4 linked regions of the Lepisosteus oculatus genome follow. The protein of the gene in region 1 interacts with the protein of each later gene in a pairwise test. Links are inferred from orthologs where the notes say so. Each region holds a gene or a part of one and is shown on either strand. Other genes may lie near its edges. The genes, in order: lnx2a, 5-phosphohydroxy-L-lysine phospho-lyase-like, nmd3 and c4h10orf88.

Region 1 (7,000 bases):
TAATGAAAATGAATAGCTGAATCCTGACTGCAGTCTGATGGGGGAAGAGTAGCACAGTAAACATAAATCTGGCTTCCAGATTCCAGCTATGTGGTTTGCGAGAGACAGCTACCATTAGGGCAATCCGGAGACAAGGAGTCAATCAATCCCACAGCATCAATAACTGATGCAATAAACTGTCTTTAATAGTAACGATGGACATTGATCTTCCAGATACCTTTATCCCCAACAACATATTGAGACAACAGAGGAAAAGCTGTGCTCAATAATGTGCTCTGCAGAAGAATCACAACAGGATCCTGGCTTTACATACTCTCCTAGACATTTTGCATTGTTCTTCTCCTTTCACTCAAGTGCTTTTCCATCTTTTGCAGAAACACACTCCTACGACGATTTTCAATGGAAACTGAACCCAATTTTTTAATAGCTAATAGTTCATCCTGGGAGATCAATGAACTGTAGCATAAAAAGAAGTTTTCTCAACATAAGGGATGTGAATAGAGCACCTGACAAAGGTGATTAATGATGAAGAGGACCTGACAAAGAGTGACTTAGAACTGACTGGAACGCGTGATACCACTTTCATTGCTATTAGAGATGATTTATTGCACTTCGGACCCCTTTGATGTACCACTGCGTACAGTGGGTCTGTGCAGGAAGCAGGATTACAAGACTCATGTCCTCATTAGCATTCTGAGCCCAGAACACTCTTGTATACGTTCCAGACCTCCAGCCCTCTCTCCTTGCCACCCCCTAGCAGCTCCAATGTCACCTGAGATCTCTTTGACCAGATAAAGCCGATGCAGGGAGCTACCCAGCCCGGCTGTTCAGACGGCCTGCCCTCAAAAAACTGCTCTGCCTTGATCGCTACAGGAGGCTTCAGGTGGAAAGGTCAGTGGAAAAGACACATGTTGGCAAAAGAGGAGTGCTGAGCTCCTAGAGCCAAAGAGCCTGACAAGTGTTCCACTGCTTGGCACAAGGTCACGCTGCAAAAATGCGTTTTGACTCGCACAAACTGGAGAAAAAAAAAAGCATTTGTTCCTCCAGAACAACAACCTATTGTGGAATGTTATGCTTATGGGTAGCAGCGGAGGTTCTTTCGCAGGGTGCTTCTTTGTGATAAAACAGCGTACCACGCCGTCAAAGCTCGGCTGTGACAGCAGCAAGGGCAAAGATTCTGAAATGAAACCAGCCTTGTATATCAACAGCCTGGTTTTCCTGGCTTGTTCTTCCCCTACATTATTGTGCAAGGTTCAACTCTGAGCGGAGTAAAGCAAGACTCAAGACAAACCACCCGGCCCAAGCTTCATGCCAGGCTCTTCAGAGAAACAGGCATGCAGTTTGAATTTAAACACCAGTTTGTGTAAGATCTGTTTTACAACTGTCACACAACCTACAAATTACTTTGCAGCTGTAGCTCGATGCCAGATAACTCCAGCGAGTCTCTCGTTCTCCCAGGGAATCTGTTACTTTTACTCTAAATCCACGCTGCATGTTGGAGGAATCCGGCGGAAATGGTCACTGGGTTTTCGTCTAGTGTTAGTGGACACATGGGGCGTCTGTCCACACGAACAGCCTCCTCACATGCCCACAGCTGCCTGTCCCCATAGAGACCACTGCCCTGCGGACACCAATCTGCCCTCTGCACCCCGAGGCTCCAATCCGACACAAGATGTCTGACCTCTGTCCGCGCTCCTCACCACCCTGTAGGACTGCGAGAGAGCGCAAACTGCCAGGACTAGGTCGCTAAATCTTTTAACACCACATCAGTGCAACTGTACAGAGCTTGAAATGAAAAATACCATTATATAAGCCAGAACATATATATATTGCATCTGGTGCACTGACCTGAAAAGCCTTGGAGTTCAATTCATCTTTTATAGTCTCTGTGCAAGAGCGTGCACACTATACACTGGGAGCACACTATATTTCAGAAAATCTAGGCCACACTGTGTGTAGCATGCAGGCTTGCATTTTACACCTCAGATAAATGACACAATTACCGCACATTTTAAAACACAGACAAATTATGACTGCTATAAGGTGTGCCCAGCGTGTGCTTTTCATGCATCATGAATTTCAAAGAACGCTGATCCTCCGAGCAATTCATTCGCGGCACCAGGCTGCGACTAGACAATGCCGTCGAAGTAGGGAAAGCGAAGTCCACCAACAGTTATTGTTCTCTAGGTGTTGCTTTGTTCACACAAAGTCGTTGTCATTCTCCTTGAAACTCAAGGGGTGCCCCCACCGTGGCTGGATGACAAGCAACCAACGCAGAGGAAAGCGTGCACTGAGTCCGCCGTCTCAGATCTGTCAGCAGGAATGCCAGTGAGGAACCGGGGAATTTGATACAGATGGCGTTTAACATTGAGCACTGAAATCGATATTTCGTCTAAATGTCTTTGTTACCTACTATGTTCGCTGCTCGTTTAACCTATATACTGTACGGCAACAAAGAACTGTACCTCAAATCATGGACACATCTTTGAAAGTGCTCACTGTTCATAGCAGACTGTACAGCTGTTTTCTACGGCTTGTCACCTAAGCGAAGCATCCATCACGTTCACTTAAAGAAAGGGGGTGTAAGTAACACATGCAGATCATGTATTATCAAATAATATCCGCCTATTGACAAGCAGTACAATTTACACTACACTCCCCAAGAAGAGTACGATGAGACACTTTGAAAAAATTCACGTTTTTTTTTCTGTCCTCCTGAACAAAGTAACTATTTCGAATCGTGGCGGAGGCGGCGACATTCTTATTTTAAAATTTTAAACGCATACCGGACGAACAAATGAATACCGCAGTACATTACCTATTACAGCGTGCCCACCACCCCCTCTTCGCCGCCGCCCTTCTGTGAACTCCAGCTCGGACCTGGGACAATTCTGCGGCTCAATCAAAACTCACTTGAGCCACACAGGGCACGACCGCACGGCGGACTGACGCCCTCGCCGCCTACCGGGGGAGGAGAACCGCCCCACCCGCCCTCCTGCCCAGAGCTCACCGGAGAGGGGCGGGGCCGGCGTGATGTCATGGTAGCAGGAAGCGCCCTGCACCCCCTCACAGCGCCTGACTCAAAACACAGCCGCCTCGGTGCTTTGCTAAGCGATCGCTCCCCGGAGCACCGCCTATTCATGGCTGCCGCACCAAGAAGTCGCTTTAAAAAATGATCTGAGCGCCACGTAGGCCAAAGAATGCTTTTCTGCGATCACTCAGTGCGATTTTAGCGCTGGCGACGCAGTACGGCATCTGCGAGGGCACCAATCGCGGAGGGGTCCTACTGGTCCTGGAAGCTCTTGTTTAGGAAGTTGGAGCAGACGGCGTTGAGTGCTGTCGTTTCGTTTCGTCTCGTCTCGTCTCGGCGTGTGGTATTTGAAATGGAGGAGGATCGAGAGCTGGAGAAGTGAGTACAGCGGTGGAAAATGTCGACAGATTTGAACATTAAATGTTGAAACAGCGTGCTGGTTTCGAAAGAGTTGGAGCCGCGGCCGCTGGTTGTCGGCTGAAGCAGGTATCACTGCGTACTGTGCTGATCACGGCATCAGTACCGCTTCCTTAATGTGCTGTAATTAATGCTTCCAATGACTTTAATATTAATACGAGTAATTCGAAATAATCAAAAATCATTAACGAAACACTTAGTGAACTATTGTACTTGCAGTTAGCGCTTTACCATATATCAGTTTGTTTACAACGGAATAAATTACTAGTAATACCACCCGAGAGCTTGTTAATGTTGCGTTCTTCAATTCTTAACACGTTGAATGAACTGGCTGATCTGTTACTGTGTTGTTGATCCTTGCTCATTTTATTATAATACTCTAATAAAATATTTTACTACAGGACTAACCATACCGATCGTCTGAACTTATTAAATACTCACGTTAAAAAAAACGTCCTGTGCATTGCTCAATAATTCAATGAATTTTCTATTACACGTGTAATAGGAGAACATACTAAAAGGTTGAGGTAAGCTGTTAGTAACTATACATGTCTGATATGTATCGCACACTACTATGATCACCGCTCGGAAGCTGGCGAAGATCAGACATTTTTTTACGTTGTCACCTATTATGGGTAAAACCACAGTTTTGTACAACATTAACAGTCAAAACTAATTAGACAGTTTCCATGGAATGAAACTAAGAACAGAAGTTCGTTACAGTCTTAAGAAGTGGAATTTGGAAGATCATTAATGATATGTAACAGATTTTTTTCGAATTATTTTTTCAGCAGTTTTAGTGCATTTTTTAAGAGAAGAATGAATTAATATAAAGCTGTAGAGAATGTAGTGTATATGTTCCTGAAAACCTGCTGCTGATGAAGTTTTTTCACTTTAGATCAATGGTGCTTCATATCATGTTTGCTGTACATGCTAATTTCAATTTGGCATGCAGCTGTGAATAGATTTCTCTTTTTTTTTAAGAAGGAATGAGTAAATTATATTATTATTCCATATGGCAATCCACCAAAACAAACTTAGAAAAGAACTGCTGACAAGAGCAGATGTAGCTGTCAGAGCACAGATTCTGCATTTCAAAGGGCAAAGATGTCAGGGCAAAAGCTCATTATGAATTTTTCATTGTAAATATAGTCCTTGTGGTGGTTTAGAAAACATTATAATTATAATTATCCCATATTCCTGACTTTTCGGTGTTTATACAGCTCAGTATAAAGTAGTTGACTGCTTGCCAGGCCAGAATGATTTAATACTGTAGTTGTTAAATGTTGCCACACTAGATTAAATGACATGTTTTCCTTAAACCTGATTCATAAGTAGGGGTGAGAGAGAATGTCTTGGGACTCCCAGAAGGAAGCTTTGTGTTCTGCTTTTCGGCTGTTTTTGCCACAGCAAGCACTTCATAGGTCAGTCTTGGAATTACAGCCCTCTAGCTTTGTGAAGCAAAATTTCAATTCATAAAACATTTCTACTTGTCAAATTAATTGTTACACATTGATTGCAGTATCGCAGTAAATACGGAATTGTGATTTGCTATTAAACCAGTTTAAATTAGTGTTAGGTGTGAATTTATTCAACGCTTTGACCCGCTGGCCAGTCAGTAGCACCATTCCTGATATTTGACAGTGGCCGTTTGTTTGACACATTTCCTGCTTCTACTCAATGAAAACCTGCCATCCAGCACCTAGTGCGCCATTTTTATTGGTCGAAGTTTAGATTTATTCTGAGAGGCGGCCATTTACACCTGCATGATAAGCTGGAGTGGTCTGGTAACACTGACGCCCTGTACAAGAAAGGTCAGAGCCAACTCTATTTTCTTAGGAGACTCAGGTCCTTTGGTGTGTGTGGAACACTGCTACACATTTTTTATGAATCAGTGGTGGCGGCGGCCATCTTCTACGCTGTGGTGTGCTGGGGCAGCAGCATCATGACAAAAGATGCAAATAGGCTCAATAAACTCATCAAGAAGGCTGGCACTGTGCTGGGGATGAGCCTTGACCCCATGGAGGTGATGGCTGAGAGGAGAATGCTGACCAAGCTCACAGCCATCATGAACAACACCTCTCGTCCTCTTCATGGGACTGTTACTGGGCAGCGGAGCACATTTAGCAATAGACTGCTCCAGCTACGGTGTTCAAGGGAACGTTTCCGCATGTCTTTCCTGTCTTTCCAGCTGTCAGGGTGTATAACGCTGCCTTAGGCTAGGACTGTTAGCCCTTCATTTGCTCCTCTATGGACAGCATGTTTGCTCCATTGTACGTTTTGGACAATCAGTCTGTATAAACCTATGCACATTTTGCACATATTTTATTGTTTTTACAGTGACTATGATCAGCACATTTTGCACACACCTATGTATTTATTTTTATTTATCTTGTTTGTCTTTTGTTTTATAACTATTCTGATGTCTGTTTTGCTTGTCTTGGGCTGGACTGCTGTAACACATCAATTTCCCTATGGGATTAATAAAGTATTATCTATCTATTTAGCATTTGTACTAATTCTGCACATTTCAGAATACTTTGCGGTGAAATATAAAATGTTTTGTGGCTGTGCTGGAGTGCAATCGCAATGCTTAAGGGTGGCAGCTCACCTAGCACTGTTCAGCCATAAACTCACCCCCGCTGCCAGTGAGGGCTGTACTGAGGAGGCAGGCTGGGCAGATCCACACTTGGGGCACATTGTGCTGGGGTAGAGGATGACAGCTGCCCAGCAGTTGGTATGCCCTGTCACTGATGGGTGTCATAACAGATGGTGTGAAACAGCTGGCTCAAAACCAGGGTCCTGTATTCAGTTCAGCGTGGTGTCAGATTGCAGCATTGGAGAGAACAAGAGGTCTGTCTTGAATTCAGATTGGCGTACCTTTTATTCATAGCTTTAGCAAAACCCAAAAAATATATTTGCGTGAGACAAAAGCACAGCCTCATTCAGTTTCAGAATCATTTGACAGTTTTATAACCTGCATCTCAAGCTTTAATATTAGAAAAAGAGGTTGATATTGCACCCCCAACAGCTAAGTTAAACTTAAATTATCCATCTTAAACTCTGTAAAGCAAGTCTTTAGTTATAACATAAATGTTTAACGCTGGCTGTGCAAATTTATAGTTGTTATAACTGGTATTGCTAAAATTCTGTAACACATGTTGATTTGGAGATCCCTGTAACACTTTGCCTACAGTGTCTTTAGAGCTGCTGTCTATAGCAAGGTTGAGCACTCAGTACAGCCTTGCAGTATAAAAGCCTTTTTTATGATTTCTTCCTGAATAGGAGAGCTGTGGATGAGCTTCTCAACGAGGCAAAGCGAGGGAGGATCCGGGCAGAGACTATGGGCCCTGCTGGCTGGTAAGACACACAGACATGTGCCAGTGTGCTGTGCTCTGGGACTTCCCTGCCACAGTTGGCAGGAATAACCTGCCACACCATTTTGACCAATTTTGATCAAATACTCAGTTTTGTCAAATAAAGAAAGAAGTGTTTAAACAGATGGCCATTTTCATAATGTCCCTGTTTAAGGGACTAATAAGGGGGAAGGTG
Region 2 (7,322 bases), on another chromosome or scaffold:
AAAGTACGTTTCCTTTTTTTTTTACACAGGGAGTTTGGAAAGGTTGGCCCCATCGGTAGACCGGTACCCCGCCACAGTCACACTGAACAGACACCGAAGCGAGCCTCTTACCCACAGTTCAATCACCGCTCCGGTCTGCCGCCGCCTGTCTTACCCAGAGTTGACGAAGTAGAAGACTTGGAGCTTTTCCGGCAGCGTCTCCGAAAGTCTCGCCGCGTACTGGACCAGGTTGTCGTGGAGGAACCGGGTGTTCGTGTTCTGCAGCTGCATCTGCGCGGCCGCTGCCTGCGCCACTGCGGGGTGGCAGTGCCCCACTGCGAGAGAGCCAGGGACAGCGCGGTCAGAGTCCGCCCGGACCCCCAAGCCACCCCCTCTGGGGCGCCGAAGCCGGTCAGACGTTTACGACAAAAAAAATAATAATAATGTCCAGCTGTCAACAGACTCAACTATTACAAACTCCGTGAAAGAAAAAAAAACCAACGAAAGGATATATAAACCTCTTCTTAATCTGAATTACTTTTTTAATCTTCTTAAATACGTCATGTATTGTCACACACAGATTTGTTAAGTGCCTTGGGGCACCCTTGTCGTGAAAGGGACTATATACAAATAAACTGAATTGAATTCTTAATTTGTAATAGCAATATTAAGCATATTTTTAATAATAATAATAATAATAATAATAATAATAATAATAATAATAATAATAATAGCTTACACGTATATAGCGCTTTTCTGGACACTCCACTCAAAGCGCTTCACAGGTAAGGGGGACTCCCCTCCACCAGTGTGCAGCCCCACCTGGATGATGTGACGGCAGCCATAGTGTGCCAGAATGCTCACCACACATCAGCTATCAGTGGGGAGGAGAGCAGAGTAATGAGGCCGTTTCATAGAGGGGGACTATTAGTTGGCCATGATTGGTAAGGGCCATTTGGGAAATGGGAAATTTGGCCGGGACGCCAGGGTTACACCCCTACTCTTTTCGAGAAACACCCTGGGATTTTTAATGACCACAGAGAGTCAGGACCACGGTTTTACATCTCATCCGAAGGCCTGCGCCTGTTTACAGTATAGTGTCCCTGTCACTCTACTGGGGCATTAGGACCCACATGGACTGCAGGGTGAGCGCCCCCTGCTGGCCCCACTAACACCACTTTCAGCAGCAACCTTAGCTTTCCCAGGAGTCTCCTATCCAGGTACTGACCAGGCTCACACCTGCTGAGCTTCAGTGGGTTGCCAGTTGTGAGTTGCAGGGTGATATGTTTGCTGTTTTCGTGACAGTCAGCACTACTGTTAGTGACTTTTGTAAGAGGATGGCAACTAAGCAACCCAAGCAATCATGCAAAATTCTGCCGTACACAAATGATTGCAAATCATTTGAAAAATGATCATCTGTGCTGTGCTTAGATATCTGGTTTATAGAGGCATGGGATTGGCAGGATATTACATTAACAATTTCCAGCATAATCCCTTGTTTTCCTGCGTGGATGTGCACGTTTAGGGTGTTTTTATGTATAAACAGCTGTGACTTGGACTGCCAGGGTTACCGGCTGAGGCAGAATGACATCAGCGCTGGACTCTCCTGGATGCTCAGTTTAAATAAATCGGCACGCTCGCTGGGATAACCATTTATGTTAGTGGACATTTCAGCTACTGAAAATAAATGTTTTAACTAGCATTCTCAACGGTGACATGCAGCATTTCTGCAATTGGAAGCACCATTTGAAAATGTTTCAAAGATTCCTAATACTTTAATTTGATTAATCATCAAAGAAAGGGTTTTTAAAGGCAGAATTCCACACTAGTTCTCAATACTATTTCATGCAGTTACGGCTAGATGCTTTCGACGGTCCACCTGAACAGTGGTTTCAACGCTGCCTTACCGTGATGGACATTACTGATACAGTCCAGGTAGCGCCTTCCCTTCTCATCGTACAAGTACTGTCCCTGGGCTTTCACGATCTTCACCGGCTCCTCGGAGAAGAACAGCCGGCAGGACGAGCTGGGAGGAAGTGACAGTGAGTCCGCTCTGCAGACTGAACACTTTTACAAGAGCACAACCTACACCCTGACCAGTACTACATCATCTGAGGAACAAGTAATAGGTTTATTCCATGATGAAAAAAAGAAGAAAGAAAACCTAACATTTCGGCCGTGGAGCCTTCTTCAGGTGTGACATTCTGAGGGATTTTTAACTTGTTTTTTTTTCTCAGGGAGGGCGTTACTTAAAAGCACGTGCTGTGCATCGCCGTCGTTCAGATATGAACTTTTATAGAAGAGCATTTTCCAACCTTTGGAATTAACGTCGGAGTCCGGGAATATTTCGCTCAGGCTAATACTAGATGGACAGCCTCTTTATGCACTCACCCAATCAACTTCTTGCGCATCGCTAATGTGTCTTCTTTGCTGTAGAGCGCCATGGTCAACACTTTTGCGAGACTTTTTGTTTCTACAAACTCCTGGAACATCAATCACTACTGCTGCCCGTCAAACCTCTCCGCGTATGACGTCAAGCTGAGACCTGCCACGGACTGCAAACTTCTTCCCGGCTACGTCACAGTCATGCGCAGTACCTAGGAAGACGCCCCACCGAGCCTGGCCGCCCCTCTCGGTCACATGACAGCCTCCCAGCGTTCACCTGGTAACTGCCAGTTTATGCGACGTCACGCAGACAAAGGGCCTATGTCCAATTTTCTAAACCTTCAGCTGTCTATTTCTGTTTCAATATTCTGTCTCCTTTCTTGTATTTTGTATTGCCAAATATTTTTTGCTTTTCAACCTTTAAAACTCTTATTTTAAATAGACTAAATTTGAATAGAAAAAGTCTATTCAAAGTTTCTGTAGCGCATTAATCAGTCGAAAAATACTTCCTATCCGTCCTTTGAAAAGTCCAAAGTTTCTTTACAAGCTTTACTAAGCTGGAGACTTCGTGAAGTGCCAAAACAGCAATCTGTCGCTAAAATAACCAACACTATTCACTGATAATACACTCGTAACGTTAAGTAAACTATTTCGGTTACGAGGCATGAATTCATTCGGAGATGTAGATTCTAGTAAAAGTAGCAAATATAGTAACATTGATGATAGGAAAAAGAACAATGCATTGATACATAATTCAGAATCAATCATGATACAGAATCAATTATAACGAAAACTGAGTTCCCTGTTTTTTAATCAGATTCGTACCATTCAACACGCGAACACTTAGTGTAACCTTTCAACACCGCGTTCAAAAATAACGAAGACGCCACTGTTTTAGAAGTCGTGCTTAACAAAAAAACGACATGACTGAAAATGTTTAGAAGTGAACAACTGGGGAAAATAAAAACTGTAAAACAATATGTTGATGCAGGCCATTTGCACTCACCAGTTTTGGAGAAATGTATGATACGCCCCGTCTTGTGGGCTCCCTGCAGGTGAAGAGTCCGGCACTACAGATCGTGCATCTGACAATGCCCGAGTCACATTATTTCACAGAGGTTTAAAACTTTCAAAAGGCAAGGACCACCAAACCAATGGCAGTTTACAATTAATCAAGTAATGGAAAAGCAGGTTTCCGTAGTGTAGTGGTTATCACGTTCGCCTAACACGCGAAAGGTCCTCGGTTCGAAACCGGGCGGAAACACATTTTATCGCCCGCTGTAGTGTGTGTCTCTAGGTCTTAAATAAGCACTGAGGCATCCATAGAGGCATCCGTTGAAATGCACGGCTAGTATCCGTTGAACGTCGTTTTAATTTCATGAAACGAATCCTCTGTGCGCCCTGAAATTTATCCTGACAAGCTTTTTATATACGGTGTTCTCTATTCTTGGCGAAAATAACAGGAATAATTTTAAACGGACGACATTTTCCCGTCATTCAAAAACGACAGCAGTGCACTGGAATTTTGACAAAGGACCACTTTCACCAGGGACAGAGGTACAGTATTTCGCCATGCAGTTCAAAGCTATTTTAAAAAGGTACTTTCTGCAAGAACTTTCAAGCAAAAAGTCGTGTTTCCGCCCGGTTTCGAACCGAGGACCTTTCGCGTGTTAGGCGAACGTGATAACCACTACACTACGGAAACCTCCGTGACACTTATGGGAACACTTAGTCGTCTTCATGGCATTTCAGCACGTTTCACCCGCACACAACGAAACTTTTTATCATCCCGGAAATTATGATCCCGAATATAATTCATACGTCAGATACATGACTAATACTCTTAAAAAGTAAACAGTTACTTAATACTCAAATTTAAAACGAACAGGAGCTGTTTCCGCCCGGTTTCGAACCGGGGACCTTTCGCGTGTGAGGCGAACGTGATAACCACTACACTACGGAAACCCAGCTGTTTCGGGACCCTTAGAAGCTGCTTTTTTCAGGTTAATATCTTTCACGTATCAGTGAACTGTGCTTTAATTTCTCTCCCTAGTTTCTATGCGACACTCATGATCACACCGCCATGTCTATTAACGGTAAAGTCACTTTTGATTAAAAAAAGGTTCGCTTGGGTAACCGGTCTCTGAAAAGCTCGTCATACGCCGCTTCGTGGAAAGTAGTTTTATCTTTCCACGAAGAGGTGTTAGTGGGGCCAGCAGGGGGCGCTCACCCTGCGGTCCATGTGGGTCCTAATGCCCCAGTATAGTGACGGGGACACTATACTGTAAACAGGCGCCGTCCTTCGGATGAGACGTAAAACCGAGGTCCTGACTCTCTGTGGTCATTAAAAATCCCAGGGCGTCTCTCGAAAGGAGTAGGGATGTAACCCCGGCGTCCTGGCCAAATTTCCCCATTGGTTTACCCATCATGGCCTCCTAATAATCCCCATCTCTGAACTGGCTTCATTACTCTGCTCTCCTCCCCACTGAGAGCTGGTGTGTGGTGAGCGTTCTGGCGCACTATGGCTGCCGTCGCATCATCCAGGTGGAGCTGCACACTGGTGGTGGTGGAGGGGAGACCCCATTACCTGTAAAGCGCTTTGAGTGGAGTGTCCAGAAAAGCGCTATATAAGTTTAAGCAATTATTATTATTATTATCTGAGTTCTTCCAATGAGAGAGAAGACGCGCAAATATTTTGCCTCCCAATTTTAGCGATATTTTTGGTCACAGGGACCCCAAAACTTTCTTTTTTTTCGTGGAAAGATGAACACCTTACATATTTCTGGCACAAACCCTGTTTTAAAAGTATTTTTCGCTCCAAAAACTGTCTGTATCTTGAGTGAAGCCCTCATGGACTGAAACGCTAATACTGATTCGAAAATTCTTAAGGGTAAGTTTAGTAAGGTTAAGGGTAAGGTTAGTAAACAAAATTGATAAGACTTTTGTCACCAAGTTTCCGTAGTGTAGTGGTTATCACGTTCGCCTCACACGCGAAAGGTCCCCGGTTCGAAACCGGGCGGAAACACAACGTTTTGCTTAAAATTTTTTTTTTTGGCTGAAACATTTGTTAGAAATGCTTAGAAATCTGCCTACCTCGGAATTCATCTCTGTACTGCCACGAAATGTCTGAAATTGATCCAAAACTGGGACCGTGTTGTAAAAAGTACATTGTCTCCTGGGGGACACTAACCTCACTATAATAAAGCGAGAACATAAAACAGAAAGTTAATTCATTGAAAATTTGACAAAAGCCCAGATAAATTGAAATATATGTAACGGAACAAGTAAAACGTTTATCCCATGCTGAAAAAGGGAAGAGAGAAAACACAACGTTTCGGTTGGCTGAAGTTTAATTATACTGCATACATTTCCTGATCAGTTTAAAGCGATCAAGTTTAATAGAAACGATGTTATTGTTGACGTGGGAAAACCATTTTTTTTCAACTTCTCGGTGTAGTGCAGAATTCGGTATTTATATCTAAAACTAATATTTACTCACATTTATATATGTATGTGTGATACAGTCCTTCTCTAGGCTGATAGTGAAGCACTCTTTGTACAGTAGGTGGCGCTGTTAGTTCTGTTAATACGCCCCAGCTGGGGAAGCGAGGCTCCTAATCCTTGTTAATTGGTCATTAAAGAAACCGAGGAGCCTGCCATTGAAGAATCATCCAGTGGACTGGGTTTGTGAGACACCAGGAGCGTAGAGTTTTTTGGGTGACAGGTCAGGACATGTCAGGCCAGTGTCACTGACTGCTTATCAGGGCAAATAGCAGGGCTGTTCATCTCAGCGCCTGGGGCAAATTGAAGTTCAAAGCACGTCTGGGTGTCAAGGAGAGCTCCAACCTGGGCTTCACTGCTCAAGCCACGTCTTTTGTGGCTGTTATTTCAGCTCAGTTCGCTCTGTTCTTTATCAGTGCAGACTGGTTGCCAACAAAGGAACATCGCTAAAACAATAGGTTACTCAAATGCGTAGTTTGCCCGGATTTCCAATCGGTGCGACACGTGTATCAGTCGAGGAAGACTGCAGAAGCTCCTTACTCCTTCACGTTACTGCACTGTCTTTCTGCACTTGGTCAGACACATGTGAAACATGTTAACGCAGAATGACCTCTGTTGTACCGGACATTAATTATGGCAACTGCTCCGTAGTTTGCCATGGGCACCTCTAAGAGGGGCAGATTTTTCAAAGGCAGAGAACACGGACATTTCCAGAGCAACGCCTAGGTATCCGGGAGGGGAAAAAAAAGAGAGAAATCAGAAATTGCACATGAAGTGACTTGTAAAGAGCATGGAAAGATTTCTAGCTGAAGGTGTTGAGTGCGGGAAATGTAGGACTACAAAACCCGATCCGTGGAAGGATACAGTGTCAGAGAAAGAGGACATTGCCGAAGGATTAATACAACCTGTCAATTCGTTACACTTCAGTAATAGCGATGGGCTTACAAATCCGCAATACAGTAGAGGAGTTCACTGCCATATGCACACGGGCACTGGAATTCTGATTTGTGCCAATCTGCCTACACAGTACAGCAGACAACACCACAATTAGAATAAACTATAACGACCAGAACAATAAATATGCAGTAGTAGATAACAAAATCTACTACAGACTGCAGTGAGCCACTGCAGTCTGCAGCAGGGTCGAAGCTGGGCTGGAGTCCAACGGTCTGTGCCCGGGATGGCTGGGGTCCTGTATGATGGATTGGGCTTTATTGCAACAGCAGACGGTGTGAATTTTACAGTATCCAAGTTGCTACGTGAATCCAAACAATGTATAACTAATCAGGCAGCTGGGACTATTATTCTAATCTTAATCAGATAAGATCACTGTATTGGCCATATACAGTTTCTTGTATTAGGAATTTGTCTTTTCACAGACCCCAACTTGCTCTCCATGAGACACACAGACAGGGAGAGAAGCTGGGGGTCAGAGCGCAGGGTCAGCCATTTATACA
Region 3 (7,703 bases), on another chromosome or scaffold:
CTTCTTAATCAGTTATCTTTTTACCTCAAAGAGAAAAATAAACAATGAATAAATACTGATCATTGAGGTTACTTTATCAATAAATGTTATTGATTTTCTTTTGCTTTCTTGTCAGAAACCCCTCAAATTGCAAAATACACATGTGCAATCCTTAGAATTTAGATCCTGTGACATTTAGGTGTTATATTAAATGTAGAACAATATGAATGTCATTTTATTGCAGAACAAGTTCTGTTCTGGTATACGGCACCTTCAAAACCTACACAACATGACATGATCCTTCTACCTGCACAACAAAACTTTAAGAACTTGCGTCTTTAGAAAGGCTTTCCAAGATTGAAGACAAGGAACGATGGGAGCGTTCAGGATTCTCGCCACGTACTCTGGTATCAGTATGGGGACGTCAGCTGATCACACAGCTGTGAAGCCACCCAACATGGGCAGAGCTGAGGAGATTTGGCAGGGCTTCGGCATCATGCTCAATTTGCATTATCATCCACATCGCTGCCTAAGACCAATCAAGAGGAAGCTGGCCACCAGCTGAGAGACTCATCCAAGCTAGTACATCCACAATGGTGCCTTCTTCCTGAAGAAGGCTCCACAGGCAAAAGGTTGAGTTTCTTTTCTTCCCGTTTCAGCAGGGAATAAACCTTTACTTGTTCCTTTGCAGCCTACGCATGCTGACGCAGCTCCCTACTTGAACTACTTCATCCATAAGGGTGTGTGATTATCAAGCAAGAAGATTTCTAAGGATGGTCAAGGGAAATGTTGAAATAGGAGTGACTTCAAAAAACAAAATAGGAAATGTTCTAGAGACTGCACAAAAAGTGCATGGACATCTTACTTTTCAGAATGTAATCAAATTCTGCTCATAATCCACCTGAATCTGACCCCTGATCTCACCAACATTACAGAAATCCAATCTATATTGAAGTATGAACTCCCTATAGGGAACCTGTTACATGCATAACATTATAATTGAAGGCATGCATTATAGTGTATGCTGCCATGGAAAATTACACAATGGGGATACTGTGCTATAAAAAGAACTGTATAAATTATAGTTTTTCATTTATTCAGTTTTACCTTCTTCCCCATTTAGCTTTGGTTAATTTAAAAAAGTTGAATACTATTCTAAGGATTTATCTGCACGGTTTATTACTCTGACTAAACGCTAGAACTTTGATATGTCAGCATTTAAAATAACACTGGCAAATGTCAAGTATTGTTTAAAGAGCATCATTCACATGGCACACTGATGTAGTTATCCTTTAAGGATCTCTCTTTGCACTGAAGCAGACTGTCACCTTTTCTTCTTCAAGGCACTGAAAAAGGGCACAGTGCTTTTCTTGCATATTTACAGACTCTTTAATACTTCATTAACATTTCAGCTGCATTCTTTGTGTTGCAACATAGGCGAAACAATACATTACTAATCTGTTTTTACACAGTACCAAAGGCATATCCTGAGACACAGTTTACAAGAACCTAAGCACAAAGCCTAGAACTATTGGAATGGTGAATGGGAAACTGAAGTTGTTTAGGCTGCTTTCTAGAACAGGAATTGCAACTCAATTATGCAATTATAAGTATTTTTTGGCTTGCTTGTTAGATGACATTGTCATTTCAAAATAAAATATTAGTTTGAAACAGCAAAACAAATGCATAAGAGAGAATCGAAAACGCCCAATGCAAACGATTTCAGTGAACATCGAAAAAAAAGAAACACTAAATAGTCCTTTTACATACTGGTCTTAACTGGACATCAGGATATAATTTTAAAATTCACATTTTTGGCCGGATATACTGTACTAAGTTTTTTTTTTTTTGCAGTCGTTGGTGTACTCTACATTTAGTAACAGTTTTACGTGAACAAGAAAATACGTTTTTTGTGACTCCCAAAAAGCTAACCTGTGAGTATTCAAGCTTATAATAATAATTATTCTACAATAATAAATGCAATTGTTTCAAAGATAACCGAATTTTTCTTCTTACACTAGCTTTAACATTGACTCAGGACCCATCTCTTCCAGCATAACTACTTTATTTACTGAAAAGGAAAAACATAAATTACCTTAACATAAGATTAACATAATTTGAGCACACTATGGGTGAGAAGCACTGCCTTACCTTTTCACACGTGTGTATCACTGTACATCTGCTTATGTTAACCCACCGTCTTACCCTTTCAATACTATCTATCCTTAAGTGACACCAGAAGACAAAGTAGGAACTTTTGATTTAAATTGATGCACCATGGACACTATTATGGTGGACGTATTATGGATTTTAGGTACCTCTATGAACGGTACTACATTGCAAAAGGGTGATGAGTGTCTTAAAGGCTCAGACTGTAATCTCAGATTGTTCAAATGTATTTGTATTAATTCATAGCTCATTTTTATGGAATAAACCATAGATTAATGTAAAAATAGAACAATCCCCTACACGTAGATCTTTTCAAATCGTCTATGAGAGCTTCCAGGGGAGCTACAGTGTAATCACTCACTGAATTACTGTTTAGAGCTTTTAAATACCGTATTCTTTAATTAAATTAGTACCGCATATTCCAAGTGAGGCGCTGTTAACCTGTTTTCCACCATTTTTGCGACATGCCCGGTCTGACTTAATTTGAGGCGTGCTACACTACAGATGGCTCTCTGTCTGATTGGTCTGGTGAAAGTGAAAATTTTTAAAATGCACAGGCATTTGGGAGCTGGCTCGACTCTGCGAATTTACTGCCCGTCGGTAAGAAAAATAAAATGTAGTACGACTGGAGTACTTTCCGTAGCCCTAACCCCGGCGCGGTCAATAAGGTGCGATTGCAATATCAAATCCTGCCGAGTATTTACACATCAAGACTAAACAAATATCTATTTCCCGAATAAATCACAATTCAGTCAGGTGTGTGGGTGGGAAGCTTATATAACAGATTGTAAAGCAGAAATTTATCAACGAGCGTGTCTCGCCGTGCTCTATCACTTCGACGTCCGACACACAGTACAGACGGATGTGAACTGCGGCACAAGCGGGCTAAGAATACGTCCTGCGCGGCTTTAAAAAACTTGAATCACGCCTGGCGATAAACACGGCATGAAAACACTGAGCACGTTACATTTTCGCGGGTGGGTAAGGGGGAACCGACCGTCTGTCGGCCCGGCAGCAGTTTTCATTCAGAGCTTAAGAAGGACAGTTTTACCTCTCCACCGTGGCCATCGAAAATGCCAAATATGGATGGGTGGCTCCTGTTGACATAATCGGTAATGACTTCAAACCTATCTTCCATGTGATCTCTCCTTCCCTGGATGGAGTAGACCGCTACGTTGTGGTTTTTGAACTCCCAGGTCTTGGAGAATTCCGCCTCCAGGACATCCAGACCCCCGAGCCTGTCGTTCTGCATGATCTCCGCCACCTTCCCCTTGACCATCTTCACCGCATCCCTGCTGGACTTGACGATGGTCTTCACCTCGTCCGTGTGGAAGAAGTAACTCCACAGAGCCAGGCTGATGCACAGCAGGAACAGGGTCTCTGGTCTCAGTAAGAAATAACGCATGATCCTTCCCAAAAGAGACAACAAAGTCATTGTATCTTCTATCATTTATACACGCAGAAACGCGACTGACGACAGCTCCTCCACTCAAAATTTCAGTCCATACTTTGGAGGGCAAACAGTGATGATGGTGATAATAATAATAATAATAATAATAATAATAATAATAATAATAATAATAAAAATCAGGGTCGATTCACCAGAAAGCTGCGCATCCGTTATGTACAAGTGATTATGCAGCAGTAGCGGTGCTCAACACGGGATCCGAAGACGCTGCAGAATCGGTGTCGGTACCGCTGATGTTCCCTAAAACTGTAGCCAAATGCCCCACATTGAAGGCTGCCATTGAACAGTCTTGCCTTTCACGCAACCGAGACCCCTAGGAGACGCCGCTCCAACCATGTGCGCGATGCGGGGCAGTTAAAGGACACGGGGACCGCCTTCCGAGAGAGGCTGCTTCCGAGCCCCGCCACTGACAAGCGAATTGACGACCGCCTGCACGCCGCCGCCGCCGCTCTCCGATCAGCACCTCCTCACACAAAGCGAGCGGCCAGGCGCCGCTGCAGCATTCCCCTCGGTGGACCCTACCATTCGGGTCCGGGCGGGGTGGGGCGCTCCGGAACCGCGGCGCTCAGGACGGGGCAGGCGACACGGGGCACAGCCGGGCTCCTGCACGCTCCAGCCCGTGACCACAGAGAGAAGGGGTCAGAGACCCCCCCCCCCCGTTCACGGATCACGGGGTCCCCGCCGCCGCCGCCTGAGAGGTCGCCCCCCTTTAAGTTTTTTTTTTGTTTTGTTCTCCCTCGACGGGCATTTTCTACGGGGAACCCGTCCTACGGCTAGCGAAAAGGCACAGACAGAATAAAACGGGAGCGGACTCCGTATCGGCAAAGAGTTTACGGGGGGGAAGCGGAGAGATTTGCAAACCATCTTTTCATCTCAAGTGCATATCCCCTCCCACACACACACACATTATAACTCATTAATTGTTACAAAAAATAAACCTGACGGGACATTTAATTGATTGTATCATTGGCGGGTATTTAAATACTAATAGTGTGGAGAATTGGAAATGGTGTTCGCCGGGGAAAGTCCAATCACACTGACATTAGAAGATTTTTGCCACCTGTCAGAGTCAGTCTCGCAGTATCTGCACCATTACACTAGTCTCCAGGAATTCAAAGACTTCAAAAATATGATGATACATTGGAAGAACCGGTCTGTATAGTAATTACTCTTTATATAAAACAACGGTATATGCTTTGGAATGCATTTAACCATAATGTTAAACTAACTTCACTTTTAATCGAAAGGCTGTTTTAGAACAGGTTCGAATTATATGCTTTCATTGAAAACAATGTAACTTATTGTATTGCTATGATTCTCTCACCAAAGATGATCATTTAATATTCTCCATTCTCCATTCTTTAAAACCTCTGTCAAATAAGAAGGGTCGTTAATGGGTTTATTAACGACCCTATTCACGTACAGGTTTATAACGTACAGTATTCACGAAGGTAACATAAAATAAGTACACTTCTTCCAAGAAACTTTCTATTATCACTACTCTTAAATCAGACAAGTGATTATTACAGTACCTTGTAGATTGTATACCATTCTACAAATAGGATTTGGATGATTTGCAAATAGGCAAGTGGAGATGACTTCAGATTATGTTTGCTGCACTATACAGTGTATTTTACATTACTACTCTCCGAATAAAACAGTGACTGGACACTCAGCTCCCTCTACAATAAATAATGTAGAATGTCTTACTTATCCATGGGCTGTATCTAGAGGGAACTCCAATAGAAAAGCTTTAACTGGTACAGAATATACCAGTTACATGTTTAATTTAAATCATTAAATCACCAAGAAGTCAAATGGTGAACAGTTTAAATCAGTTCATGCCAATACTAATTCCTACTGCAAGGAACTGGAATTTCCCTTAAGGATATTATTCATATTATGCAGCAAATTTGCTTTTCAGAAAATATAATCTACCAAAGTTAAGGCAGAAAAACACAACAATGACATAAACTCCAATAATAATCTCGAGTGAGATACCTGAAACTTTAAACTGTATTTTCTATTTCAAGAGATGTTCAAAAAGCATCAAAACTGAAAAAAGCATCGTACCCTGTACTTTCAGAAATTTATTTTTATTTAATATACACCAAGTTTAGATAAAGTATCTACAATTTGGAGTAAAGAATATTAAATGTTATATAACCACTAGTAAGCATGTGAATGTGCCTTTTTACATTATTAAATAAATAGAAGCATTTTTAAATAAATCATTTTTATTCTTTTTCCTCATACCTGACAAACCTGGAGACAGGCGCACTTCTAGACTGCTATAATGAGCACGTAGGGGTCTTTTCACTCCGGCTAGTTGTGTACTACGTCATCAGGCTGTCTTGTGGCTTATGGACAACGTGCAGGGCTGAACGCGTGGTGAGTGAAGACAATTCAACGAGATGAGCATGCATCTTGTTTTTAAGATTGTTAAGTGACACTTAAGTTAATGTAACTCAGCTTGAACAAAATTACTGCTAGGAAGATAACGGCTGTTATTTTGAGGTAAAAGAAGTTCAAGTCGATGTTCAAGTGAATGCGTATAGTTCTGGTTGAGAGAACTACTTAAATTGTGGTGTGGCACATAACTACTTTGAATCGTGGACTATTCTGTCTGCTTGTCAAGCACTTTAAACATTTTTAACTTAATTGCAAATTGTTTAAAAATATTTAGGGAGTGTCACCTCTTAAATGTATAGCGTATTCATTTTGCGATTATGCGATTGGAGGAATTTAAAGAGATATGCAGAATGTGACTTTAAAATGGGAGATGGAAATGACTGAAAATGCAAATAAGCAACCAGAATTCTTTAAAATTGCATACCATGTTTTACTCAGAAATAACAGATATACATTTTGCTTCTCATACTTTAGGTGTATGGGCTGGTTGACGTATTTTTGAAATATTGTATATTATTTGTCCGTTTAAGAGAGAGAAGTGAAGAAGATGGAGTATATGAAAACCCCAGCAAGCAACATTCAGGGCAACATGTGAGTATCGAAGACATGCGTGTGTATTAAAACATCAAAAAGAAATTTGATAGTACAGGGAGATCAGTCCAAGGAAATGCTTTCTGGCAACAGCTGCATGAGAGCAAATCAGTGCATCAGCAACGAGAGTACTTTTGAATAAATCCAGGTTTAATCAGTTTTATCTTTCATTGGGGATAGTTGTTTTAAAGCTAAGTCTGTTAGAAACAAGTTTGTTTTTTGTTTTGATGTAGAATGACAGTTGTTTTACATGAAAATATTTCCCTCTGTTCTCATTTAGTTTGTGCTGTGAGTGTGGTACCCCAATACCCCCGAATCCAGCCAATATGTGTGTTGCTTGTTTGCGAACTCAAGTTGACATCACTGAAGGGATTCCGAAGCAAGTCTCTGTTCATTTTTGCAAGCAGTGCGAAAGGTGCAATTTTTTGTTTTTTCTGTTTTTTTAAATTGTCCAGTTATAGTTCAGACATTTGTAATGTGAGAGTTAATGGCAAGAAACTCAGGCTGTATTGTCACTTAACTGTTTAATGTGTTCACCAGTAACTAGTTTAAACATAAGCGTGATCAGAATTCTATATGTAGTACTTTACCTTAACTACATTTCCAAGTGAATATGGTACTGCATTTTTTTCTCAGGTACCTTCAGCCTCCTGGAACATGGATACAATGTGCTTTAGAATCCAGAGAACTGCTTGCCTTGTGTCTCAAGAAACTGAAAGCATCAATGAGTAAGGTATATAGATATGGTAACTTACTTTGGGTCCTGGTTACATCCATAGTGTATAGTTTTAACTCCATCTGTCTCTTAATTAACACTGTTGTTGTGATAATTCTCATTGATGTTACTGGTTTTGAAAGACATGACTGCAGCTGATAAGATGAAATGTTACAGCTCATTATATATATATAAGATTACCTGTGGTTATTGATTTGGTATACTAGAAATGCCTGAAGAAATATGTCATAACTGTTTTTTTGTCTTGTGAAAGTTGATTTAGTATGAATATAAAATATGCTGGAATATACCCTTCAGTATAATTTATAATAGAGGGGGGTTTTCTCAGTTAGGGCAGTACCAAATAGA
Region 4 (7,368 bases), on another chromosome or scaffold:
GTCAGTTTAAAAACAATATTTCAGTATTTCAGAAAATAATCCCCAAGTCAATTTTGATTGACCAATTTTTGGTCACACCTGTTACACTTCTTTTAAATTTAGAGATCAGATTTCATGGCTGAAGTGAAACTACGCTTTTCCATAACTGTAAATAAAACATATAAAATTAATTAGTGAATACACAATATTTGCCACGGTGATTAATACAAATTAAGTCATTATTAATCATGCCTAAAAATAAGAACATCTTAATGTCTAAATGATAAGTTTACCTGTAGTTTTATGATAACTGTAATCTCGGACTGTTTAATTTGGACAGGATTTTCTTAATGAATATATTTGGAACGTTGTCTTACCTGTAGCTTGACTTCGATTTATAAAACAAATAAAAAAGGAGAATAAGAAAAGACTTCGTTCTAACATTATGAATAATCCAGCAGTGCTTCTATGCCATTAAGTTAAAAGGGCACAGAGTGAACAGAAGATTTCTAGGTGAGGTGCTGTCTTCCGGGTGGGAGTGTGCCGCTGTAATTGGAAAAGTACAGTGAGTGTGCTAGAGACAGCTCATACTGGATCAGGCGCTGACAATGGCCTTTGAACACAATTTGTAATTAGCAACAGGAATGTAGAACGGGTAACACCGGTTTATATAAAATAGAATATCCCGCAGCATATTATGCCGGAAGAAAACTTGCCAACCTGTTTCAAGGATCAAAATCATTTTGAACTTATTTTCTTTGCCAGAGAATTATTGACTATCAAAAGCGAAGAATGAAATGTAATTTGAAGTACGTTTAAAACAATAAACAACCTAAACCTTATTTCAGTTCCATAATGGTCCTTGATACATATTGTAACGCTTACGGCCGACAGGTACTCTGTAAGAGCCGGCGTACCAGAGCAGGTGACGTCACCGCCCTTCCCTGTGATAGCAGGACTACAGCTAGTGCTCTGTAGAGAGATCTCTCTTTGGCTCACCGGCCTGGGTCCCTGCAGAGTGACGCGGGAGTCCCGGCAGTGGGGGGTCGACCTAATACGGCAAGGGCGCCCGCCTGAGCCCCCGTTGCGTTACAATGTAGTAAAACACGAAAATGAAAAATGACGAACTGGGTTTCTTCCGCCCTTCAGAGATGGTCGAGCTTTAGATGATATACTGTTCAGAACAGTTCCGTTAATACAGAATTATTAGCTCTTATCGAAAGTATTTAAACCTTTTTCATTTATCTGTTGCTTCACTTCACTCAGTCAAAAAGACAAGAACCGGTTTCTGCAGGTAGTGAAGCTCAGCTCTGAAAACTCTGATAAGCCTGTAAAACCTCTGGCCCAGGAGAGCCTGAGGAAGATCTGTGCCATCAGTGAAGAGCCATTTCACATCCTTCATCAGCCTTTTGATCTTTTGCCTCCATGAAGACTTTTCGGCGTTCACATTTAAAACAAATAAAATGAGAGTAAGCTTTGTTCCAGAGGCCATCAGATTTGCAAAAAATTAATGTAAAGAGGTTTTATATATAGGCTGTCAATTGGACAGTGCACCGTCTACAAATGTGTACAGTACAGTACTTCAATACCTTCTTAACTAATACACGCTGTTATTTCAACTACATTTATGGTCCGTTTGTTGATTTTTATGTGTATATTTTTTCTTTGTAATGTTGTTGTATTAGTTATATGCTGTATGTTTCACCTCTTACTGCCTACATTTCCCCCTGGGGATAAAGTATTTTGAATTGAATTGTCAAGTCAGCAGGAGAAAGGTGGAATTACAGAACATAGCCACCAGTGGGCGCCAACGCACTCCGACTTATAAATAAGAAAATCCATATGAGAAAGTAAAGCAGAGTTCTGAAAAGAAATCATAGTAGCAGGAGAGTATTTAACTACCTAAAAAAGTATCTGTTCGTGTTTGCAGCAGATGACTTGGTGAGCTACACAACTGTTTTTTACATAAGAATAACAATATGGCAGTCTCCTAGTAGCTTCTATGAATTGGCTACATTACTCTGCTCTCCTCCCCACTGATAGCTGATGTGTGGTGAGCGTTCTGGCGCACTATGGCTGCCGTCGCATCATCCAGGTGGATGCTACACATTGGTGGTGGTGGAGGGGAACCCCATTACCTGTAAAGCGCTTTGAGTGGAGTGTCCAGAAAAGCGCTATATAAGTGTAAGCAATTATTATTATTATTATTATAGCTTAAGAAAATATGGAATAGCTATACCATCTTAAATATTTTGTAGCAGGCTTTAAATCAAGGCAAAGAGCAGACAAATGGTGAACTTCATAAGGTTCCTTCTTGATCATGACCACTAACCTCGTGGCCATTCCAATGCTTTAAATTGCAGTACTTTCATATAAGCAGCTCTTAAACTGCTGTACTGATACTAATAACTAATTACATATATGATTAAAGAGCAACATTTGTAGAAAAATTAAATAATACGGCACACTGAAGAGCTGCGGTTCGCATAGATCTGCATTAGATGTTATTCATTGCATGCTATTAACACCTGAAAAAAAATGTTGGTTGCTATCTAATAAAACACTTCAAACTTAGCAAAATAATTAAAAACAAATTACTATTAAGAATCCTGCCACATGTAACAATGAATCAAACTATAACACAAGCAGATGGGGTATCGAACAACATTAAATGTGCTCATAAGAGTAAAGAAAAAAAATGTCCAGCTCATTTAAAGCAGTTAAATGTCCAGACCAAATGAGCTGTAGTTTCACTTGGACTCATCTCGAATAATGATGAGACTTGTTATCGAAAGCAGATTGACTTGGGAACAGCCTGGTGTTTGGACAATGACCTTCTACTCAACGCTTCTAAAACCAGGGAAATACATTGTTGACTTCCGACGCATCCAGAACACAAAACGTCTAATCGTTATTAATGATGTTCCTAGAGAGACCACAAACTCCTTTAAATTTCTGGGTACATATATAAACAGTGATCTTAAATTGAGTACCAACACTGACCACATAGTCAAGAAAGCACAGTAGAGGATGTTTTTTCTAAGGCAACTCAAAAAAACACAGAGTGAACCGCTAACTCCTCCTTCAGTTCAACACAGCCATAATCCAAAGTGTTCTGACAACCTCTATTAAAGTCTGGTATGGGAGCTTGGATAACTACCCAAAAGGCAAACTGGAAAGGATTGTGTCCAAAGCTGCAAAAAGTGTTGGCTGTGAACTCCCTTCTATCTCATCTCTCTATTCAAGCCACAACTCCAATCGTGCCAAGAAAATCATCTCTGACCCCTCTCACCCAACTCATAATCTCTTTCAGTTTCTCCCTTCTGGAATACGTTCCAAATCCTTCCTCTCAAGGACTGCCCACTTCAACCTCAGCTTCTGCCCCACTCACTGCCATACGAACTATGAATACACGTTATAATTGCTTACACTTTTCTGGACACTCCACTCAAAGTGCTTTACAGGTAATGTGGACTCCCCTCCACCACCACCTATGTGCAGCATCCAAATTGATGATGCAATGGCAGCCATATTGCACCAGAATGCTCCACACATCAGCTATCAGTGGGGAGGAGAGCAGAGTAATGAAGCCAATTATTAGATGGGGATTATTAGGAGGCCATGATTGGTAAGGGCCAATGGGAAACTTGAAACACCCTGGGATTTTTAACGACCACAGAGTCAGGACCTCAGTTTTACCTCTCATCCAAAGGACAGCGCCTGTTAACAGTATAGTGTCCCCATCACTATACTGGGGCAGTAGGACCTACGTGGACCACAGGGTGAGCACCCCCTACTGGCCCCACTAACATCTCTTCCAGCAGCAACCTTAGTTTTTCCCAGGAGGTCTCCCATCCAGCACCCCCTACTGGCCCCACTAACATCTCTTCCAGCAGCAACCTTAGTTTTTCCCAGGAGGTCTCCCATCCAGGTACTGAGCAGGCTCACACCTGCTTAGCTTCAGTGGGTTGCCAGTTGTGAGTTGCAGGGTGATATGGCTGGCTATAAATTATATATGTATGTGACAATGTTTGTCCGTCTTCTGTCCTATTTAAATTTGTACTGTATATATTGTAAAGTATGCATGTCTCATCTGTGTTCTTGCTGTACCAATAGAAAATTCCACCAACTATTGTTGTGTGGCAATAAAGAATAATCTAAATGTTTTACTGGTTGGCCAATTTGTACAACTTTACTGTTTTTTCCCCTTTTTCCAATTGACCTGGCTTACAGAAGTGCAAGGAGCACACAGAAGTGCAAACATCCTGTCACGTCACAAAGTTTAATATTTACCGACATATATGTTAATACTTGTTGAGCTGTTAAGACTGAAAAGGGAGAAGCTGGCACCGATCAGGCTGTTTTTTTTTCCTCAGGCGCGCTATGGACACCCTATAGATTTGGGTCTTTTTGGAGAGGTGTCGCTGCTCTGATGATTTTAGTAAATCTGTTAAGTGAGCTGTTTTCTTCTGGTTTAACTTCGCCTGGTCTCTTTCTGTGATAATATGCAAAGATGTACCTTATTATGCTAAAATGAACTTAAAAATGTCTTTACTGATAGAGAAATTAATCGGTGTGAGATATTTAACGGTGAGATAACTACAATACCCAGGTTTAATCACTGACTGAGATTTTAATAATTTACTAATCGCTGGGTAGTTTCATTATTTTGCTTCGGTTGTCGGCGATGCTGAGTAATGACAGGTTACAAAGTGGAAGGTAAATAACGTTTAGGTTTCTGTGTGAGTCAAAGCACGGTTATCGGCACCAAAACAGCAGGAAACCATGTTGAACGCCGCTGTCAAGGAAAGAGATTCTTGCCTTTTAAAGTAACATTTTATAATCAGGTTTAAAATCCTTCCTTCTTTTATTTGGATTTTCCAAAGTAGTATTAGCTTTCGGTTTGTTTGAACCATGCATGCTGGGAGTCACGGACTGGAGTAGGGACGGTGTCTGGTTACTTTAACCAAAGATGGCCAGGCAGTGTGTGATCGGCAGTAAAGATGGACTGGTCACGGCGCACTCGTCCTGGGTTTTCTCTTCGTCTTCTCATGAAGACATCTTGTCTCTCCAAACCGGGAACAACCCTGGGGATTACCCCGAAGACGGCGAGTAAGTAATTTCTAATTTCTAAGCATTTGGCCGTCATTCAATATCATCGGCTTTTTTTACACTGTAAAGTGTAACCGAGAGAAATAAACGTTTACATCTTGTAATTATTCTTTTAGTTCCGATGTTATCTTTTGCTTTTGTGTAAGAATTAGATTATCGCCCCCAACGTTTATGAGAGAGAAGTATTCACACTGTGCGACTCTGGACAATTTGCTGCTTTTCATCAGTGTACCTGAGCGCAGTGTTGGTTTGTACTCGTCTTTCTGTGCAGGACCGTTCCTGTGTTCCTACAGCAGGACCCCGAGGACGAAATGCTCCCCTGCGAGCTGCGACTGCAGTGCGCCCCCGGCTCTTGCTCTGACATGGCCTGGCTGCAGGTCGTGAGTGAAGCGCGGACCATGGAAGTGTATTGTGGGTCCGAGTACTGCGGTACCTGCCGAGGCGAGCGAGTTAGCAGCCTGCAAATCAACGGGTGCGCCTTTGCTTTTCTGTCTCGATAACCGCTCTTACTAATGTGATCGCTGATAACGGTTGAAATGCAGCGTGATCGGAAGAAACATTCGGGGATCTTTTTCTTGTCTTTTCAGTGTTAGCGACAGCATTTCCTTGTATCGGAAACAACTAAAATTAGACAGTCCTTCTAGATCTTGTGAAGTGAAGGTAAGTTCCTACGTTGTGTCTCTAATGTTGTTGGAAGTTATCTGTAAACAGGAGGAGCAGGAAACAAAAAAAAATGATTTAGCAGCATGGCCATTGAGGATATATTACTTCTTTATTGTTTCTGTATTGTGAATCTGTATCCATCAGTGTTTTAGGACGTAGATTAGCGTCACCTGTGGTTGTGTTTACTGAGATTGCAATGACCTAAACTGTCTATTAGTGTTTAGTAAAGTTCGTACCGACTAAAACATGTCATCAATCTCAACACAAAACCGCTTTTTGTGTTTTGTTTTCTACATCAACATCCCCCCAAATACACTTCATTGCTGTTTTTTTTTGTTGGCTCTTTTATGGGATGATAAAACTGAAGTGTTTTTAACTGGTGTGTTTCTCTTTGCTCAGCTGCTGTCTCTTGGTGGCAAAAAGAAAGTGGGAATCAGTAGGATCGTAGTGGGAGTGAAGCCTGCTGGGAAACTGGGGAGCCCCCCTTGTGTGGGGAGCAGCATTGACCTGCAGCGTGTGCGGGCCATGATGGAGTCCATGGGTACCACCCTCTCTCCCGGAGCGCAGAACCTCATGGACATGGTGCAGTTTCAGCAGGAGGTAGAGGATATAAACACAAGGCTGTTTGCAAGTGTGAGGAGTTCAGCAGAATGTTTTATGATGGCTTGCATTACATGAAGACTAATACTACACCTTTCATTTTTCCAGAATAAACCTGATGCCCTGGGGGGATTTCTGCCTCTTCTGTTGGGCAGTGGACCACTGGCAGCTCTGGTGAAAGGAGGCTCAGAGTCCCGATCAACAGCACACACAGACTTGCACACCTCCAGGGACATCCAGTGCACAGATCCACTGCCTGCCCAAGAGAGCAAGTCAGAAAGTGCTGATGCTCCCAGCATTGTGAATAGTACCTGCATAGATAAGACTTCAGCCACTGGAGAACAGCAGCTTCCAACAGTGAATACTAATTCTTCTGAACAGATATATACAGATGTGATATCATCCTTTCTGAACGGTCAGGCCAGGAGGAAGCAGTGTAGCTTTAGCCCTGAATTGCTACCTGTCCTACAGAGCGTGTGTGGTCAGGTAACACAGCTGCGCATTGAGGACAGCATACCTGTGAACAAGCCAGCCTCAGAGCTCCAGTGAGTATGAAGTTAATATGGGTACATTGTTACAGGATCTATTTAAAGATGTGTTTAGCCTATAATCATTTCCATGATTTCTTCAAGATGTCAAACATTTCCATTGTAATGTATTAGAGCAGTGCTTCTCAAACTTTTTGGACCGAGTACCACCCCTGATCAAACCAAAGCATCCAAGTACCACCTACAAGTCATCTTCTCATAGGAACCCCAGAGAATCTCAATGACCAACATGAGCGTGCGCACACACGCACACATACGTATAATAAAAATAGCACTTAGATAATTTGGATCGTACCGCCTTGTAGCCCTTTTCCGACGCTTGCTAACACTAGGAGCGCGGTCTGTGTCGGGTTCAGCAGCGGAGCTAGTGTCGGTGGCCGATGTATAATCCTCCTCGTTCTCAACAGTGTGAGTGATCTATCTGAGCTGGCGTCGGTACTCTTGGCCTCTGTTCCTTTCAGCCATG

The links.
Region 2: the proteins of lnx2a (region 1) and 5-phosphohydroxy-L-lysine phospho-lyase-like interact in binary tests that used the Homo sapiens proteins (3 or more experiments, as listed by UniProt). The link is inferred for Lepisosteus oculatus from reciprocal best matches to the Homo sapiens genes LNX2 and PHYKPL.
Region 3: the proteins of lnx2a (region 1) and nmd3 interact in a two-hybrid assay, tested with the Homo sapiens proteins (3 studies listed by BioGRID and IntAct). The link is inferred for Lepisosteus oculatus from reciprocal best matches to the Homo sapiens genes LNX2 and NMD3.
Region 4: the proteins of lnx2a (region 1) and c4h10orf88 interact in binary tests that used the Homo sapiens proteins (3 or more experiments, as listed by UniProt). The link is inferred for Lepisosteus oculatus from reciprocal best matches to the Homo sapiens genes LNX2 and C10orf88.

What each region holds. Positions count from the first base shown.
Region 1 is NC_090700.1:5,626,304-5,633,303, forward strand, and holds the start of lnx2a (ligand of Numb protein X 2a), read right to left. Parts: upstream 3,001-7,000; 5' UTR 2,819-3,000; intron 1-2,818. Other genes in the region: si:ch211-140b10.6 (protein POLR1D), read left to right, coding at 3,384-3,409, 6,734-6,808.
Region 2 is NC_090706.1:30,013,245-30,020,566, forward strand, and holds the start of 5-phosphohydroxy-L-lysine phospho-lyase-like, read right to left. Parts: upstream 3,006-7,322; 5' UTR 2,472-3,005; coding exon 2,371-2,471; intron 2,006-2,370; coding exon 1,887-2,005; intron 841-1,886; exon of another isoform or gene 719-840; intron 315-718; coding exon 155-314; intron 1-154.
Region 3 is NC_090708.1:5,929,973-5,937,675, reverse strand, and holds the start of nmd3 (60S ribosomal export protein NMD3), read left to right. Parts: upstream 1-4,688; 5' UTR 4,689-4,768; intron 4,769-5,891; 5' UTR 5,892-6,007; intron 6,008-6,013; exon of another isoform or gene 6,014-6,133; intron 6,134-6,558; 5' UTR 6,559-6,575; coding exon 6,576-6,619; intron 6,620-6,899; coding exon 6,900-7,034; intron 7,035-7,255; coding exon 7,256-7,352; intron 7,353-7,703. Other genes in the region: ppm1lb (protein phosphatase, Mg2+/Mn2+ dependent, 1Lb), read right to left, coding at 3,200-3,598. UniProt on the Homo sapiens protein: Acts as an adapter for the XPO1/CRM1-mediated export of the 60S ribosomal subunit.
Region 4 is NC_090699.1:27,695,335-27,702,702, forward strand, and holds the start of c4h10orf88 (ATPase PAAT), read left to right. Parts: upstream 1-4,352; 5' UTR 4,353-4,951; coding exon 4,952-5,091; intron 5,092-5,362; coding exon 5,363-5,563; intron 5,564-5,678; coding exon 5,679-5,751; intron 5,752-6,153; coding exon 6,154-6,354; intron 6,355-6,462; coding exon 6,463-6,899; intron 6,900-7,368. Other genes in the region: adam9b (disintegrin and metalloproteinase domain-containing protein 9), read right to left, coding at 357-423. UniProt on the Homo sapiens protein: ATPase that regulates mitochondrial ABC transporters ABCB7, ABCB8/MITOSUR and ABCB10. Regulates mitochondrial ferric concentration and heme biosynthesis and plays a role in the maintenance of mitochondrial homeostasis and cell survival.